Arabidopsis thaliana: one gene and its partners. The protein of the gene in region 3 interacts with the protein of the main gene of each other region in a pairwise test. Each region holds a gene or a part of one and is shown on either strand. Other genes may lie near its edges.

Region 1 (5,265 bases), on a different chromosome or scaffold from region 3:
AATGCAATAGTACAGTTCGACCTTCGCTCAGTTGGTAGACAGGAGGTTGTTTCTTTGCGCCAAGAACTGTGCAAAAACCACATGTGGATGGATCTTTTGGTTTTGTAGTCTGCCTAGTCAATGGTTCAAACATCATAAGGTGTCAAGTATAGTGAAAGTAACCTCTGACATTTCCACTCATTCCCTATAACAAACTTGGCATGTAACGTAACTTAACCTTTTACCAAAAAAAAAAAACTTGACATGTATGCATTTCTCTTATTGAGTTCTCTTTTGATAACGATTTTGTTGTAATACTCTTGTCAAAGAACACTGAAAATGGAATGAAACAAGCTTTAGAAAATAAGATCTGACCCTACCGGATTCAAACTATTGACCTAAGGATGTTCTGCTTCAACTATTGTTTTCATTCGAAATGCAAAGAAACAACCTCCGTTCCAAAAAGCTAGATCTTTGGCCTCCATAGCTTGCAGAATTCACTTGATTAAGTTATGTTCTCCATGACATTATAATACCACAGGCTTATATGCTGTGTCTATATGACAATATCACTGAAATCCTAGCTCTTTACTCACATTCAAAACACATTGATGTCGATTATAATTAATTAATTAATTATGCTCGAGAAATGGTAGCATTAGGTTTGTTGGTGATCAAACATATTCCTACACATATTTAACTAGCAGGCATCTCCATGAAGTCACAACCTCGGTGTGGATATTCCACCTATGACTAGTTTGAGGGGATAGTGAGACCCAACCCTCCAAATAAATCCAAAGGTCTTCCCTTCGACAGCAAAAGCTTTAGAAAGCTAAACACTCTCCCAAAAGAGTGTGACCAATGGCCAATTACACTACACTCATAATCAAACACACACGAAAATGAGAGAGGAGCATAGGATGATACTCTTAACTCTATCAACCTAAAGGCTATATGAAAAAATACACCATAATTTCTAAAGGAAACAAAAAGTGACAGAATTTGGTAGTATTATAAATAGTTACCTAAATTCATGTACTGCAAGAAAATGTACAGAAGATGAGGTCCATACACATCATAGGTAAAGCCAGATTATGATGGGGTTTAAGGGAGTGAAGCTTGAGGGGTTTTGATGTTATCATATGCAGCAATGTTTTGTGGTTCACATTCAGGGCTGAAGAGACGGACAAGCATTGCAGTTGATGTGCTTACGGACAAAGCACCACACCCAGCCCACCGCAGACTCCTTGGCACTGTGATCCTTGGACCTACACATTTCCCAAAGAAAACATTTGCTTTTATAACCGTTCTATCTTAGAATTGACTCAACTATTCTATTCTACGTTCCTTTTACTCTTAAAACCACATAAACAACAAACCAACCCCAAGAATCATTTTTCATGACAATAGGAATCAAAGAACAAGTGTATTGCTTCCCAAAACGTGTAAAGATCCAATCTTTCACCACATCAAACTATTCAATCAAAGCTCCTTTTGGATTCATTTTTCTCATAAGAAACGGATACTACAGAACAGAAAACAGAATGGTAATACGCATTGGTATGTTTTCATAAGGCTACAAGAAATCTTTCTAACAATCAATTATGCAGAGCACTGGATTCAATAGCTATATGGAGAACAACCTTTTGATGGAAACGCAAATCACTGATTAGAAAGGAGAGAACTTTGTTTACCATAGTGAAGTCTGCAAAGAACCCAGAAACCAAGAGCTCCACCAACAGTGAAAATGGCAGCTGTTTGTTTCATCAGTCTTGAACATGGCTTAGCATCTGATCTCATCAGATCTCCTTCTGACCATCCTAACTTCTGCCTTAACGCCATTTCTCTCTGTAATAACAACACCAAATTAATTTAAGTATAAGAGAAACGAAACTATTCGGTTTTGTGATTAAGATATTCACTGAGGCATTTCATCGAGCAGTATAAGGGCAACTTCAAAAACGAGCAACAGATATAATAACTCTATATGGGTTAAGATCTAAGCAGTAAAAAAGAGAGCAGAATTGGTACATAAATACCAGAAGCAAAAGCAATCTCTGTCGTTACCGGTGATGCGTAGTTTCTTTGGCTGTGTCGCCGTCGAGCTTGTCGGAAGAAGACGGAGAAGAGAATCAGATCCACGTGTCTAATTAGCTGATATTTGGAAGCCCAATAAGTGTTAACTATCTTAATGGGCCGGACACAATAATCGTCGGATCCAAGTGATACACGTGGCTCGGAAAAACAATTTGTTTTTTCAAGGAGTTGGTTTCTGTCTTTCTGAATTAATTAAAAGGTTTTTTTTTCGTTAATTAGTACGAACTAATTAAAAGTTAGTGTAAAGTAGATTCGAGGTTTCACCGAGGTACACTTAGAGAGTTAGAGGGGATTGCAAAAAACCTTAATTGACAGCATTAACAATGGATTAATAGACGCATCTATTATCGGAATTTACACCGATATCTTGGATATTTAAGGTTAGAAAATAATATTTTTCTCATTCGAATCGTTGTTGTAACCAAGTAGCTCATAATTTTTTTCATTATGGGAGAGCATTGACTATACCAATTGATCCTCTTTGGTAAGATGGGACGATTTCAATAGATTTTGTTTACATTTTTTGCTTACCACTTTGAGGTAAAGAATTTGTATATGCAGGGATTATTGGGAACGTCTTCATGGGAGCCTATACCACACGGTATTCGATTCAAGCAATCTTCAAATCGGAATTGCAGAAGCTATATAAAATTATAAATGTATGTACACAGGTTTATATTTATCGTTATACGCATAAGTAAACTGTGTGTATCGATGACTCCATGTAATATCTCTATCAGAACTTTATAGTTCCTAATGGTACTAATAATTTGATCACTCTTTAGATGTAGTATTACTACAATTCAAAATTTATATCACGCATATAATAATATCATCAATCTTCCAAATCTGTTTATGATCCGTAAAATGTATCCATAACCTCTGCAAACTAGAACAACAGCAATTTGGAAACTGCTGGAATTTACATACATCTAACATAGCAAAAAGTTTGCTAGATTACAAAACTGATTCCTTAAATACAACATAAAAAATCTAAAAAAGCAAACATTGTTGGAAAAAGAAAAAGTTATAAAATAAAAAAAGGATCCAGTGTTTTTGATTGGTTATTCCTACTTGGTGAGAACGTAGATGGCATATATCAGTCCGGGGATAAAAGCGAATAACGTTAGAAGCAAACAGACCCAAAACTCCAACTGCAAACACATATACAAAGAAACAAAAAAACAAGAGATTTGATCTTACTTTGACCATTAATGTCAAATGTGTCATATATTTTTATGATTTATGAATGAAAAAAATTTACCCCAAGGCCATATCTGAGGAACACACCAACAGGAGGTATGAAGATTGCACAAAGAACCTCAAGGAAGCTACCCATTTTTTTCTTCTGTAATTTTATGTTTTTTTTATATGTTTTTTTATGTTTTTTTTTGTTTTTCTGTTTCTTAGTTTTGAACTTTGTTTTATTTCTTCTTACGTGTTCATTTCCATTTATGAACTTTGTAAAAGAACAAGAAAATAGAATTAGTGGTTACGTTAAATAAGGGAAGAAACTGAGTTTGATTGTGTAACGTCCTCTGCTTGTTCCTAAAATGAAGGAGCTCCACTTCAACACAAACAACACAACCCTTTGCGTTTTGACGCAACCTTCCGTTGTTCATCGGTTGGAAACAAAAAAATGGGATGAACACAAATAAGAAGTCGAATAACTTAAAAATAAAATGTTTTGTTTTTGGGCAAAGAAATTAAAATGTTACAATCATAATGTCTGTTACAAAAATAAAATTAAATTTCATGGATTACAAATATATATAGGCCATTAGTTTGTATTAGTATCATCTTATGTAGATAAAATGTTTGCTTTTAACTCAAGTGTAAACATAATTTTTAGTGATTTTTATCAAGTTTTTTTTCTTTTACTCAAGTTTTTTTTCCAAACATGTAAATATTCAATTATGTAAGTTTTAATCTACTTAACTTATCTATATTTGTTAGTTTAGCTTAGAACAAGTAAATCTAACTTGCTATCACTTATCGACTCCACATATTTAGTCGGGTGTAATAACTTAGAGACCCATTAGTCAAAACTAATTTAAAAATGAAATTTCGTAAACTCGGTTCTTTCATATTAGATAATCTATTAAGATATATTTTTTTAATTTAATTACGTGGTTGACAAAAATGGATAATAAAAAAAAAAGTTTAACCAAAACTAATTATCAAAGATTAATATAATTGTCACAAAACATCAAATAAAATAAATTTTGCATAGGTAGTTGAAAGAAATTAAATCTCATCTATAAAGTTTAATATATACGAGGGAAATAATATATGAGATGCGTGTTAATTAAGTGAACAGCTTAATGTTTTCCATTTGTCGGTGAATGATGTTAAAGTTTTGTGGTAGTGATAATGACAACGATCCTTCATGTAATCTATATAACTTTTATTCAGTTCAAAATATTAAATCTCTAGTTTCTTTATATATTAATTTAATCGTCCTCAGATTTTATTGGTTCTGTCAATCTTATGACAAAGACAAACGAAAAGGACAGTGATGATTAGCTTATAAATTACATATAATATAACGAGTTATTGAACAATTGACTTGAGAGGACAGCTCATATATTCATAGCATCTCTATTTGACCATTCCAATGCAATGCATGTTAAGCATGGCAACTATTCGTTCGTCTTCAGCAATATAACTTTTTGATATGTAGGGCTTTTTTATAACTTAATTCTACCTTTTTGTTTGACAAAAAATGCGATGAAAAAATCGTAAATAGTACATATTTCCATGTGATTGTTAAACTTGTATAATAACCGTAATATTACGTGAAATAAGTGAATAACATTTATCAAGTAAACTCGTTAATAAAAAAACATATATGAACAAGTTAAATAACACCATACCATTTAACGACATGCATAAAATCCACATTATGATTTTATCGTCTACGTTTTATAGAATTTAGTTATGTACAATTATACATATATCGGCCAAAGGGTTGGTCTTTAAATACTTGGAATTCTATGTAAACATGTAAAATTGCACAACTGTTTCACGGGGAGTGTCGCTATACAAATCTGACCCTCGCCTTTTTTTACGACAATGATATCTTGGATTTACACAGATTATTGAAACGCCCACATAAATCAATAAATACAACAATGTTGAGCTATGTGGACATGAAACTGTCGGGTACACGCTTCACCAACTTAAAAC
Region 2 (6,123 bases), on a different chromosome or scaffold from region 3:
ATAAGGGGAAGTTTGAACCATGCTTACAGTTTTTGTGTGTTTTCTGGTCCAACTTATCTTTCCATTCCTTAAGCCGTCTTATTTATGTTACACTGACATTAGAAAGAACAAAAAAAGAGCAGAGACTAAGCAGGAAGGATATGGTCGTTGGAGCAACTTTGGTCTTATTTTCTGATGAAGTGACTGCATCATCTGCTGGCAGTCAGCCAGCTGGTGAATAGTGCTGAGCTCGTTCTTGCCCGTGGTTTTGGAAATGTGGTTAGACACACAGATTTTGAAGAGCGATCAAACCTTTATGATGCTCTTCTGGCTGCTGAAGCTCGTGCTCTGTCAAAGAATCCATTCTGCAAACAGACCTAACTGTGGTTAGTATATCATACGAGTCTCGTGCCATGGCTATCAAGACCCTTTGGTAGAGAAGTCTAAATCTCGAAGCTAAGATTTTGTTGTAAACACTCGAGCTAAAGACGATAAACTGATAATGCTGATGCATGTGATGTACACAACCCATTACTTATCAAATTTCAACTCATAAATGTTGTGATCCACATTCAGATTCATGTGAAACTAAAAGCATACAAAAAAAACATGTTACAATAATCGTCTTAATATCAGGTCCACTACTGTTTGTCTATACGGTGATAAATCAAAACAAAAAGCCCCAAAAATCAAAATCTAATCCTCTTTTTATCTAACTCTCACGCCTCGTCTGCCTCTTTCGTGGTGCAGCCACCGCTTCTGCTTTCTCCTCTGTCTTTGCCTCGCTTGTCGAGGTCTCTGCAGCTGTTTCCGGTTTCTTCTTTTCTACCTTAGCCTACATACATACCAAGAATTTCGTTAAGACTCAAACACCCGCCAACCAAAACATTACATCTCACTGACATGTTTTTTTTTTACCTTTGCACCACCAAATATGAGCTTGAAGAAGAGAGAGAGGAAGACGATCACGATGGAAATGAGCACACCGATGGTTAAGTTTGGCTGTGTTTCAGCTTTCTCAATAAGTTCCTACAAACGAAAATTGCAAATTCTCATTTAAGATTCTTCATTATACAATATGTTTCTAAAGTCTGAAAATGAGAACTTACCATAATCTTTGACTTGTACGCACTAAGGAAAGAAATGTCTGCAACCTTGTACAAGAGGTCGAACACCTTCTTCTGCAGTAATGCACATACATAATATAAGTACAAAGGATATGTATAAGCATTCCAAATTTGTGGCGAAAATCAATATACCTGGTAACTCTTGAGACCATCTGCCTCACCAGCAGCTTCATCCTCTGCCTTTTGTTTCTCTTTCTCCACATCAAACTTGGGCTTCCAAGTGCTTTGTCTGTAAGTTTCAGCAACCTTCTCGTCTTTAGATATCAAGATGTTGTCAAATAAGATACCGTCTTGCATTGTCCATATCTCAATACCAATGGCAGCAATGGGCTCCAAATTCGGCCTCTCAAGCTCAAAATAATCAGGATTTGGAATGTCTCTTGGTTTCCAGATTCCCTTGTAAGCTGGGTTATCTATGAGAGGTGAGCTCCATTTGCCCTTGTAAGCAGGGTTCCTCTTCATCGGTCTCTTCCATTCGCCACATCCGGGTGCTGCCTCACACTTGGTGTTGGAAACCTTAGGAGCCTCCCACTCACCATCTTCCTCGTCATCCCAATCTTCTGGCTTGCTTGCCTCGGGGTCTTCAACCTCTACAGGCTCATCATCCAACCATCCTTCGGGTTTCTCAGCTTCCTCATCTTCAATCTCCATGGGTGCATCCTCATCCCAGTCATCAGGCTTCACAGCATTAGGATCAGGAATCTTGGCTCTCTCATCCCAGTCTTCTGGCTTCTTGTCCTCTGGATCAGGGATGGTCTTGGAAGGAATCAACGGAGGCTCAAAGTCTTCAGCAGACAGTAAATTACCCTTCTTCTTCTCCTCACCATCGACCAAAATCCTCACCTCATTATCAGATTTCAAGACCGCAGTGTAGACATGAGAAAGCATGTCAAACGGAACAGAAGGAGGGAACTTGAGATGGTGCTCAACAAACTCGCCACTCTTGGGATTCTTATGCTTCAAGATGAAATGAACCTTGTTGGTAGCACCACACTTATCAGGTCCAAACATGATAGAGTAAGGAGAATCATTATCAAACCCTTGAGGAACCCATCCAGCTTCTTGAGGACGAAGATACTTTAAGTAAGCACCACCACACTCAAGCCCTTCTTGGAAACGAGCCTCGTATTGAAGAACAACAGTTCCTTCGTTAAGGTTTAGAGGCTCATCAACATCAAGCTCTTTAACTATTCCGTACTTCTTAGCTTTCTCACTCACTAGAAGTCCATAATCATCATGCCCTTCACTCTTCTCGTGCTTCCACACACCTAAAAGATTTCAAATAAGAAGCAACCTTTTAAGAGCTCACACAAAGTCTGTTTCTTATCCACTTATAGTAAAAGTAAACATTTCTAAATCTGTTCCAATAAAAACCAAAACTTTAAGACCCCCTTTTGATTGTAACTTCCATTACACTAATTCTAACTTGTTTTTACTTCAACAGACGAAAGAAAACCAAAAAATTCAAAACACGAATTCACTACGACGACATGGCTTTACCTTGGTATTCAGCTTTCTCTGAAACGACCCAGCGACCATCAAAAGGCTCGTCAAACGATTCATACAGGATCTGAACAACAACAAAAACACCATGTTACTGGAGATTCGATGAACAAATCTTTAAAATAGGAACTTTTTCAAGGAAGTGACCAATCACCGTTTGGTCGTCACAGTAGCTAACACTGGGAAACGAAAGCAAAGCTACAAGAAGCAGCGAAACGAATGTAATAATCCGTTCTCTCATTATCGCAATCTCAAGAGAAGAGACAAAACAGAGACTCAAAATCAAATAAGACAGAGAAGTAACTACTAAGTAAGTACTAAGTAGATCAGAGAGAGAGATATTCTTTACTCTTTAGTCCTCGTATTTCTTAGACCTACGAACGTCATTTTGATTGTTATCTTCCAATGAATATCGCTCGCCAACGTGACACTACCCTATCACCTCTCGCCAAGTCATCCAAAACAAAGCACCGACGCGTGCAAAATTTTACCCCACTAGGGCCTGGTCCTGGGCCTTGACCTGGGCCCAATTAGAATGCGAATGAATCCTCGGACACTCTTAGAAGGTTAGGAAGTTAACCATTTTATCTCATTCAAACCTAGACCCAAGAAATTGGTTTCTCCCAAATGAGTATTTTTACTAAAATCGTTAATCCAGAAGAAAATAGAAGCAAAACGAAGTTGTATTATTACTTCGACCGAAATTTCATTAGATAATTTACATGCTGTTGAAACAACACAAATACACTCAAAAGTTGCTTGATCACTGTAATACATCCAAGAGGAAACAGGATAAAACCTTAACCGACCCATTTGAAAACTCTTTGATCTCCTTCAGATGTTTTATTTATCGACAGAAACATGGAAAACAAAACACATAAACCAGCCTTCATAAAAACTTAGTGAGCTGCAGCAGCCGATATCTTAGGATCAACGCCAACATCCTTAAGCGTCAAGGCACGAGGTTTATGAGCAAACTGGTCTTTCCTGATTGGGTCAGAGATCACATCCTGCTTGTCAAACTCTTGAACGTGAGCTATTTTCCTAAACCAAGACCTGTTAGCGAACCGGTCCGCTTCGTTTAGAACTCTATCTGGATCTTCGATCTCGGGAACGGTCTCTCTCATCTTCTTGTTGACACGTACGCCAGGGTTTTCATGTAGATGAAGATACGCAGTGTAGACACCAAATGTTACTGACAATGAAATCAATCCTATGGAGACGTAAACTGGTGTGAAGTCACCTTTTGTTGCTGCCGCTGTGGTGGCGGTTCTCTGGCCACCATACTCTGTTGCCGCCGTAGAATACGCTTTGGATCTTGGTACGGTTGTCGCCTTCGTGTAAGTTCTTAACCTCTGCACTACGTTTTTCAAGTGACCCTTCAAACACAAAATGATAAAAGTCAAATCGTGAAGACCAAATGAATCATAGAGAAACGACGACGTCTTAGGTTACTTACGGTTGATCGAACGGCCATTGGTTGTTCTTGGCGAGTGATTAGTAAAATCTAGCTGAAAAGAAGAGTAAGATTTGTACTTTTTGTTGTTGTGGATTGTGCTATACTTGAGAGCGTTTTAGATATCGGATATAAAAGGAAGATGGAGACATCTGGAGTAGAGAAGAGAGTTGTAGAAGTAATACGTGTAAGCATTTAAGAACATGCAGTTTAATTCGTGGAAGTGTCTTGAAGATCCACGTCAAATCAGATTCCTTATAATTGGGATTCACTGCAGTAATGCGCGTGTTTTATTTCATTGGTTCTGTCAAAATTAAAAATATGAGATATTAATTATATTTTAAATTTGTATGCCTAATGGATAAGACCAAAATTTGTGTATCTTCTTTTACTGGTAAGCTCTAGCAACCCTCGTCTTACCACGCGACATGTGACAATCACATTGCTGCTGTGTCGATGGAACCGTGCCTTGCATCGAGTAAATGAACCAATGGCACGAAAATCCATCAAGTACTAAATGAACCTATGTCACGAAAGTATGTTCTTTTGTTTTTAAGACAAAAATGAAGAGATTAAATATGTTTGGTGTCAATTCTAATGAAAATAGTTATATTTTCTCGTCTTCGTGTTATCGTTGTATCGACATTCAAATTTAAATTCATATAAATATTATGTAAAAAAGATGGAGAAATATTAAAACGACATTTTCAACGTAATATTTATTGTAGCCATTAATTCTATAAAGTTTGTCTATATTTAAGAAATATAAAATAATTAATGCATTTTTTATGGAGTTCTTTTTATTTCATAGTGCCTTTATTTAAATAGTGAATTCAGTACTATTCATAATTTTAATAGAAAAGTAAAAGTAAACAAGTTATTTGGGATAAAGACTTAACTAAAGTGCTATTTGGGATAAGACTTAACTAAAGTGGGCAAATCTTTCTCAATGAGGAAATTAAACAAGTTTTAACTACTGATTTAAATACAATAAATTGATACGAGTTGAACTAGTGTGCTTGGTGCTTACTAGCTCCCACTTTAATGGAATTAGTGCTTATTCGACGTAATTATTTGCTCATTTCTATTTTTGTTATAAATAAAGCGGTGTAAAGAGCTTTACAATCCTATATAAAGAAAGAAAGGCCTATACATTAACTATGTAAACAATATATATAATCGTATTCACATTTCATCTCTACTTTACGTTCTTTTCAAACTATGAATATTTTTCTTTGTATCGTGACTTTTACTCACTCACCACAATTTTTTAAAAATGATGTTACGTACTTTTATCATCAAGAATAAACTAAATGGCTTAAAGAAGCATTGGTCTTAACTGATTGATGATCAAAGAGTCTCTAAGTTAACCACGACTGTAAACTAAAACCTAGCTACGTAGGTCATAACTTTCAGAAGAAGAAAAAGAAAACTCAAGTTTTTGTTATCCTAGTTTTATTAACTGAAAATGTAATTATGAAAATAACTAATTCCATTTTATTTTCTGAAAAGTTAAGTATTTTTTTTGTCAAACTGGTACAAACTCAATATTAGTGGGTTGAGCTGATGAGGTAAGTGGTCCTCGTATGACCACTAAACTAGATCAGCTCCTTAGAAAATTAGTATTTTACGAAAATATATGATCTATTTAGTAAAAAAATCAAAAATGTATATATTATAGCTAGTGGAATGACGACATTTCTATATAATATATATTCTTGTGTGTGCTAATAGTCATGCAGAAGTCAAAAATAAATAGCATGTTTTTTTTTTGACACTATATATTAATTTTACATTATGAATCACTTATTTACGACTACCACTTAATCATTTTTACGAGTTAAACTTCTATTTTTTTTTCTTTATTTAGCAAAGTAGCCCTACTAATAATAAAGCAAGAAAAAGTATTAACGATAAACAGTAACAACAACAATAATTTATGCTGCGAACTTTAGATAACACATTAATATAATTCCAGCAAGTGGAAGATATATAGCAAAAACTATGCCGACGAAAAAATAATTAAAGAATAATTCCATCCCTCTACAGAAACCACCT
Region 3 (8,793 bases):
TGATCTCCGTACTACTACCAATTATCATTCATAATTTTAACTTTGGTGTTAATCAAGTTGATTTAGAAGAACTTATCTTCATGATTTGTAACTTTAAGTGATAAAACTAAATTCATCTAAGACTTATCTAAAGTTAAATCATGTTTGATTATTTTACTAAGAAAATAAAAATGTAATGAGTTAGTTTTCAGATGTGTGCAAGAAAGCATACAATGATGATGTGTGTCTTCATGTACCCACCACATGTGAGCCATGTTTTTGGATGATTACACACAAATGTGGGTTTCTTCCGATAATTTTAAAATACTGAAAACAAGGTTCAATATTCTCTCGACATAATCAAATTATGTAAGTTATAAACAAATCATATGATATTGGGGGAATCAAGTGCTGCTGATTTAATTCGGTTTAAAAATTGTTGGTTCAAATGATGGTATTTTGGTTTAATTATTGAGACCCACGTGAATTTAAAACCCACGTTAAAGAAAAGAGAGGCCTTATAAAGACATGTCTCCGACAACTGTTTTAAAAAAAATTATAACCAAAATGCACTATCGTATAATGGCTGCTAACTTTCCTGAGTTTGAATGATTTACTTAAAGTCGTGATTTCCAATAGACTTTCAAAATCATATAACTACATCTTTCACCATCATTGGCCAACGTTCTAATGGAGTTCAAATTAAATTAGTATCAAACGATTTTGTTATATCTAGATTTTTTTTTTTTTTTTTGTGTATACCAAACTCTTTCATTCAAACTAGAAAGATACAAACAGATTAGGATTATTCAGATAAACTCAAATAGCAAGCTTGAAAATTGAAACACTTTGATATCTAGTAATATAGATCTAATACTGTAAAAAAGGAGTAATTTATTGTAGGTCGTGATACAAATTTACAAAAACTTCAATATATACGTTAGTTTAGGTATACATAGAAAATTGTTTGAGTTTTGATACATTTGTGTGCAACAGATACATTTGTGTTATTTTAAATGACAAACGATTGCCTAATTGTTGGACCAACAAAAGAATAAATAAGACTTAAATGTGTAGACAGAAAATGGCACAGATACAACGTGACGGCCATTATTGGCTTGGCCAAGTATTTACTATTTATATCCTTTTTCGTTGTATGGTTTATAATGAGAATAATGAAAAGAAAAAGTATCAAGAATTTTTCTTCTTTACTTTTTTTTTTTTCTTTTTTTTGAATAAAATGTAAAATTTATTCGAAAAAACGTGTTTACATCAAGTGTAACGGAAATTTAATCGCTCCTTTCTCTAACTTTATGGAACAAATATAACATCTCGTCTAGTAGTTTATAAGAATATTTAGAAGTTCTTACAATCGTTTTCGTTATTTTTTATTAAACACGAATGAAAATAGTGCTTATATTAAAATGTCATAGATGCGTTAAGTAGGCGATTATTTTACTTTTGTTTACATCAAAATTTTGCCACTAACTAAAGCAAAGTTAGAGCAAGATAATACACATTTATAACTATGTCAGATATCGAATCATCAACTCCAAAATTTCTCCTTTGACAAAAAAAAACTCCAAATTTTCTCTGTGCCTCAAGTCCTCAACGCAAATGAGCTGGACTGATTTTATGATGTGAAAACTTTGTTTTATGTATAGTAATTTCAGTTTACTTAGGCCCATATATTAGGCCCATAGATCACCCTGCCCATTTTGTTGGAAGTCCAGTTCTTATTTTCCTTCACATTCTCAACAACAACAAAAATGCATCATACTGAAAGAGAGAAACTTTAATTGCATTCCAGTCTAACAAAATATCATTAAACTAAAGAAAAACTCAGTAACAAAAATAACTAAGATCTATCCAATCAAAGACATGCATATATATATAAATCAATAAAAAATAACGCAGTAACTATTATAATCTTGGCATACAAAAATACATAACCTACCTCTAACATTTTAAACAAGAACACAAAAAACTTAAAATTGAGTTGTAGAAGTTTAAAAGGTTGATCCATATCCTTTTTTACCAGCTCACATGTTACTTTGAGCATTTGCATCGGTTTACCGATGAATCTAATCGGTTCCTTGGATACCAAACTTTCATCAACCTGCATCATTCAGGAACAACTTCTTGTTTCTTGTTGCTCCATTTGTCCAACCTTTTGGAAGCTTCTTCCACCTGAAACAAATTAAAATAACTATCAAATCAATGAAAATATTTACGTAAACACTTAGCGCCTACAGGGCAGCTTAAAGTTTAGCAAACTTACTTCTTTTGTCCAATCTGTTCTAAACGTGACCCACGCCAAAATAAACGTTTGTATAACCGTACCACCGATCATCCCCGTCCATATACCCTATAGCATCATTAGCCTTAAATTTGTTATTCTAATATTCAATACAAGAATAATGGTAACTAATTAAAATGAAAGTTAAGAAAACTATCTTGCCTTGGCACCGAAGTTAAAGTAAAACCCAAAGAGAGCCCCAAGAGGAATTCCAATAATGTAGTAACATCCAACGTTAACCTTCGCCACAAACGTTTGCCAACCGCATCCAACCGCCACACCTATAATAAAATTTTCCCAATTGTTCAAAAAAAAAAAAAAAATCTTCGCTTATTCGGTTTGCGAAATTGCGGTGTATCGATCAGAAGGGTTTACCAGAGAGGACAGGTTGGATTCCGTTAAGGACAAGTGTTACGGCAAGAAGCGGACAGAGATCAGAAACAGCGTCCGAGACTTCTTTACCCTCAGTGAAAGCATAGCTTAAAACATCGCGGCACGCTAAAATAACAATGGCTAGGATCACACAAGTGATTAACGAATAAATGTTAACGATGATCACAGAAAAAGCTGCTGATTTAGGGTTCCCAGCTCCAAGTTCATTGCTCACTCTTACACTGTATCAACATCATAACACAATTTTTGTCACACTTCATCAGATTTAATAGGAGAAAAAGAGCTTATGGTTCAGTATGATTTAGCATTATTTAAGTGTGTAAAATGTAAGAATCCACATATTTTTATGGGGGTAGGTAAATTGGATAGAGACGTTTTCTATTTTATATGATTTAAATTTAGTGAAAACGATCATGCAAGTGGTGAGTTGGGACAAAACAGACCTTATCGCTGCATTGAATCCAACAGATATCATGAACACCCACCCTGAAATCGTCATGCTGTAACACAAAAACAAATAATTTAATATCGTACACTATCAAAAGCTAGTATGAAACCATTGTTGCTTGTAATGTTTTTACAACATTTTAAAATTGTAACTTTTGACTTGACATGAAAATCAAAGATATCATATTATAAAGATGGGAATTCCATACTGATTTGGGGCAACTACCTAAATTTGGTGGCTGCTTCTGTTTGGTAACAGAGGAAAGAGAACTTTTGGAAAACCTAAAAAATCTAGTACTTACGACTCAGATAAATCTTAAACTAATTAGTACTAGAAGAATATTGTATAATATCTTCGACAAAATAAAGAAGTAGATGCAGATTGGACGAAGAAATAATGTTTTATTCGATTCCATATGAGATAGTTTCATATGGTCATACAGAAATTGTTAAAGTTAAATTCTACTGCTTAAGAAGAAGACAAAAACAAATTCCAAAGAAAACCAAAACGAGAAGACTGAAAAGAAGAAATGTGATGTGACCATAGATTGTCTGTAGCGGAAGAAGTGTCAAATTTGTTCGCCATTAACTTAACTTTCATATCTAGTATCTACAACCAAACTTTGCTTTGTACTCCCTACAAAAAGTTTTGTTCTATGCTTTTCATATCGAATAATAATAATACTAAAAGTTTTGTCGAATCATTACTAGAAAAATTCATGGAAAAGTCTATAATCATACATATTCACGTGGAGTTTCAGGATATATAAAAAAGTGTTTTCTTGTAGAAACCAATAACTACTACCTATGATAAAACATAAATAAAATATCATGTGGAAGACAAATTAGACTAGAATAGGTAAAATGGAAACCAAAGAGGCAAAAACACTAGAATAGATAAACTTAAATTATTATTTTTTATGGTCAATAGGTGAAATTAATTTAGTAAACGAAATTAACTAGTAAAAATAAATTTTAAAGGAAATAATTAAATTGAGTTTGACTAAAAATAGGACTTACCAAATAGAGAGTGAATCAAGAGCAAGTTCAGGATTCTCGAGAAGTCCGGCAAGAAGAACGAGAATCTGAAAATACCAAGTCTCAAGGCAAAGCATCACGGCAGAAGCGGCGGAGAGTTTAAAGAAACTCCACAAACCCGAGAAAGCTTGAACACTAAAACCTCTCCACGTCTCACGACACCTCTCACTCGTCACAATATAAACAAACTGAGCCACGACTATAATCCACCACGACAAGCTAAGCACAAGCGACGCACCAAGAAGTCCCATACCAAGCTTGTAAACCGCGAGCCAACTTAAAAGAAGGTGAACAAAGAGCGTAGCCGTTGAGATATAAGCACTTGGAGCTACTATGCTTTGTGATTGGAGAAATTTTTGTATTGGAAAGTTCGCTGCGTAGGCAAAGATTTGAGGGATAAGACCGTAGACGAAGAGCGATGCGGCCGAAGCGATTGCGGGAGATTCACCGAGGAAGAGAAGGATTGGTTCGGAGAAAACGTAGATTAAAGTAAGGAGGAGGCCGGTGAGTGTTAGTAATACGGTTGATCTTTGGAGATAAACTCCAAGCATCTCGTATTTTCTACCACCGTACGCTTGACCACATAACGTCTCCACTGCACTCCCCATGCCTAGCTATCATCGAAAAAAACTCGAATTTTAAAGATGTGAAAAAAAACATAGCATATAGACGAAAATGATATAAAACGTAACATTCATACAAAAAATATATACAAGAAGAGGAGTTTTTGGTTGTTACCATGAGACCGTAAGCGAAGACTTGAATACCGGTGTTACCAAGAGAAGCGGCGGCGAGTTCGAGGTTACCGAGATGGCCGGAGAAGATTTGAGTAGACATGGACATGAGGTAGTTAATCATGTAGACGATGACGGCTGGTGCAGCGAGGTTAAAGAGAAGCTTTGATTCGATTATGGTGGCTTTACGTAGGCGGAGAAACAGAGGAGTTTCTACGTCGGAGAGGACAGTTTCTAGCTCGCCGTTGGTTGACTCCGGCGGAGATGGAGATGGTTGAGGATGGAGAAGCGGTTGGTGTACGCCGTCGTTTGGAGACGAGTCCATGATGATGATGGAGATTTGCTCTCTCTCTCTCTCTTTTTTTTTTTTTTGGTTTGTTGTTTTGTTTGTGGTGTTATCGCTTGAGGATGTGTGTGGCTAGTGTTGTGTATAAGTGTATATAGGTCCTATCGAGGGTGGCGAGTGACGGCTAATGATAGTTACAAATTTGTATGTTAATCATTGTATTATTTCTACCGAGAGAGTCCACGTCTCTCATTAAAAACACCAAAGGTTATTAATTATTAGAATTCTTTCTTTCGTTTTTAGTCAAAGATTGTATAACATTTCTATGGATATCGTAATTAACTTTACAAGATATCTATATGTAAAATGCAAATAGTTTTCTTTACAATATTTTGAGTTATTTCGATGACATATATTGGTTAATTAGTATTCATAATTTTAAAGAATAAATAACGTACAATCACATTTTAAAAATGTGATTAATTTCAAATTCAATGTTATTTAATTTATATGATGTCAAAAAAGAATTGTTATCTAATTTATATACCACACATTTGCTCATGGATATAGGTTTCAATACTATACACAAATCTGTTTATTTATTATATACTAATTTGCTTAAATTTTTTGAACAGAAAAAGACAAATAATAATGTAAAACTGTTTTGATACTTCAGACAAAATGAAAATATCTTTGAAACATGAAAAATTTGTTCCATGAAAAAGGAAACTGTTTATTCTTATCCTTATAAGGAAAATAATCTTTCAAGAAAGCAAATGATTAATCAAATTGGGGAAAAAAAAATGATATTGAGTGGGATCTTCAAATACAACAAAACACCGTATGCCAAAAACTCATTTTGTACATGGCCAAAACAAAATTATGGTTTACCGGGCCAGTTACACCCACACCCCCTTCTTAAATTGTTGGTCCGCCCACACAAGGTATAGTAGTCGTAAAAGCAAGCGTACTAGTATAAAAATGATATTTATGGATACGATTCCAAATAAAATTGTTCACCAATGGTTATATGGTCTACTGCGAGTACACGTTTCTCTCTTTCATTCATTCTTTCTCAGTCATTAATTCCAACCCAATGATATAGCTACTACGTTTAATATTCATATTAAATGAAAATTAAAGTAACATCAATGATTATAAATGCTTGCCAGTTGCCCCCATGGTTTAATTCCTAAGAATGGGCTATCGTATGCAATAAAAAGAAAGGTAAACAACTAAACACCAATGGTTATATCGGTTGTTTTGAAAAATCTTCACGAGCACGATTTTAGGAAGATAAAAAAATTTGAGTGTTCGAATAATTGCCACTTTCACATTCAATGTTTTTCTGCGTATTAGCATGCAGGCATATACTTCATGGGTCATCATGGCAGCTTAGCTCCTTTTGCCGTTAATAGATATCAACTCTATTGGAGATATGTGTAATCCGATTAGGATTAGTACAATATCTTTGATGATAGAGTTTCTAACCTATATTTTAGGGATTTATGTTTATCTCTTGATAGAGATCATTGTGTATAAATACCATAGTTAATGAATCAATAAAAGCAAGTCAGTTCAATACCTTATTCTACACCCAACTATGACATCTTCTCTAGTCAATAGAATAGTAGAGATCAAAACCAAGCTTGCAAAAGTTTAATTCGCTTAAAAATTAGATATAATCTTTAGAAATCGAATGTATCAGATTCGAGTCATATAGCAAAGACAATAGCAGTGTAAATGATAGACCCAAACTTGGTACTACAGCTTTTAATGAAGTTATTTGGCTCAAATAAACCCAACCAAAAAAGTAGCTACGTTTTATCAGTAATAGCTGCAACTTGTATCTATATTCTGTGCAATATAAATGAGAAAAACGCGAGGTTACTTTTTCCTTTCAAAAGTTTAGCTATTTGCAAAACGTACGAAAAAGCCTTAAACGGAAAAGACAAATTAGAACGAGTTTATAAAGTTTAAAAAGCCATTCAGTCAGGAGAGAAAAACTCAAAAAAGTTGAAACTTAGTTACCAATTGTTGCCTTGGTCTCCCACTTCTGGTATATAAAAAACAGAGTTAAGTTTTTAAAGGACAGAAAAATCCCACATTTTGGACTCTTTGCTAAGTAAGATATGGACGAGGACATGGAACATTTATGGAATGGACAAGTAGCATCTTAAGTATTTACCATGATAACTGAAGGAAATCTAAAATGTGAAGCATATGCAAGCTACTTTCTGGTTTGTTAATTTGTAATTATAATTCATAATTATCGATTACTCCAAAAAGTCCCTCTACATATCTACTTTTTATTATAAAGCCCATCTTGGCTCTATAGTCTATACACAGAGACAGAGTTCTCGAAAATAAAAGCAGAAATTACTCGCAAGGCCCAAATATGGACTAAAACGCGGACTGAAATAGCATAAATCATCAATCTACATTTTTATGGGCATTTTTCTCCATGTTTTATGACATTATGCATGTATATATTATGGCGAATTCTTCAGAAAAAGGTACCTAATCCTTCAATTATACATCTCAATTTATTGCCAACAGATATAAAAAACAATCGTATATCATCTAAATTTTGTTTTGTTGGATTTTCCATACTATCCAAAAACACAATCTATTATAGCATTTATTTTTTATGTGTTGACAAGAAATTTTTATTAAGCGTTTTTGACTAAATCAATTTTAGTTTTAAAACTATAAACTTATTTTTCTTATATGTATCCACCACATGCAATAGGCTCTGAAGTGCCATGAAAATTATGGTGAAATTGACCTAATCCCATGTGGAAGACACTCTTTACGATTTGTCAGCTCTTTTCCGCGTTTCGGCCTCTATTTTTGTTTCTTCGCTTAGTAATGCATATCATGCTGCATGGCCCATTTTAAAATTACATATACGTCAATATATTTTCTTTATTATAAAAACTTAACAAAATGACAGACATATTTCTTTTGTTAGTTTATGATTTAAATTTGTGTTAGTCGCTTTAATATATTTTAATTCCATGGTCTTCCTTCCTTAATAATTGGAGGGGTCTCTATTATGAAAAGAGATTGGCGGTTAGAATTGGATTTGATTTGGTCATAAAATCATAACTAGACAAAATCTAATTTTATACGACGGTTTGTATGTTTTGTTTTAAATTTTTGATGGATATGGACCTAATAAGCAACACCATACGTTTATTCCAAAAATATACCTTAGAATTGTATAATTTATCATGAACCAAACTATGGTTAAGTACTTAACTCTACTCGTTAGGCAGGGATAAGGGATTATTTCTGTTTTGCTGGACTTAGTGATATGCATAAGGAAAGATGGTTTGCGTTTTCACCACTATTATTAATTAGCATGCAATACTCCAAAAATATATAAATCAAAGGTTCGAAACTTTTTAAGATACAGAAAAGGATACTTAGTCGACAAAGTCTTAAAACCTGGGTAGTGGATTTCGACAACTGGATTATTCGACAATTTATAAAAGTTTTTTTTTTTTTGTCAAAGTTAATTTATAAGTTGCATTAAAATCTACAAGTTCTCGAAATTTTCATGGAAGTTGGTCCCCAAACTTCAATTGGAATATATATATATAAAGAGTAGT

The links. The genes of interacting proteins can lie anywhere in the genome.
Region 1: the proteins of AT3G21690 (region 3) and AT1G57540 interact in a protein complementation assay, tested with the Arabidopsis thaliana proteins (one large-scale study listed by BioGRID).
Region 2: the proteins of AT3G21690 (region 3) and AT5G07340 interact in a protein complementation assay, tested with the Arabidopsis thaliana proteins (one large-scale study listed by BioGRID).

Annotation. Positions count from the first base shown.
Region 1 is NC_003070.9:21,309,395-21,314,659, forward strand, and holds AT1G57540 (40S ribosomal protein), read right to left. Parts: upstream 2,128-5,265; 5' UTR 2,019-2,127; exon of another isoform or gene 1,828-2,018; 5' UTR 1,822-1,827; coding exon 1,674-1,821; intron 1,248-1,673; coding exon 1,084-1,247; 3' UTR 501-1,083; downstream 1-500. Other genes in the region: AT1G57550 (Low temperature and salt responsive protein family), read right to left, coding at 3,147-3,230, 3,341-3,415.
Region 2 is NC_003076.8:2,314,027-2,320,149, reverse strand, and holds AT5G07340 (Calreticulin family protein), read right to left. Parts: upstream 2,938-6,123; 5' UTR 2,851-2,937; coding exon 2,740-2,850; intron 2,677-2,739; coding exon 2,607-2,676; intron 2,375-2,606; coding exon 1,239-2,374; intron 1,161-1,238; coding exon 1,089-1,160; intron 1,009-1,088; coding exon 898-1,008; intron 815-897; coding exon 692-814; 3' UTR 501-691; downstream 1-500. Other genes in the region: Tudor1 (TUDOR-SN protein 1), read left to right, coding at 1-28, 107-129; AT5G07330 (NFU1 iron-sulfur cluster protein), read right to left, coding at 3,509-3,988, 4,069-4,086. UniProt on the Arabidopsis thaliana protein: Calcium-binding protein that interacts with newly synthesized monoglucosylated glycoproteins in the endoplasmic reticulum. It may act in assisting protein assembly and/or in the retention within the ER of unassembled protein subunits.
Region 3 is NC_003074.8:7,635,172-7,643,964, reverse strand, and holds AT3G21690 (MATE efflux family protein), read right to left. Parts: upstream 5,382-8,793; 5' UTR 5,216-5,381; coding exon 4,895-5,215; intron 4,771-4,894; coding exon 4,139-4,770; intron 3,172-4,138; coding exon 3,115-3,171; intron 2,893-3,114; coding exon 2,654-2,892; intron 2,560-2,653; coding exon 2,441-2,559; intron 2,348-2,440; coding exon 2,261-2,347; intron 2,170-2,260; coding exon 2,104-2,169; 3' UTR 1,576-2,103; downstream 1-1,575.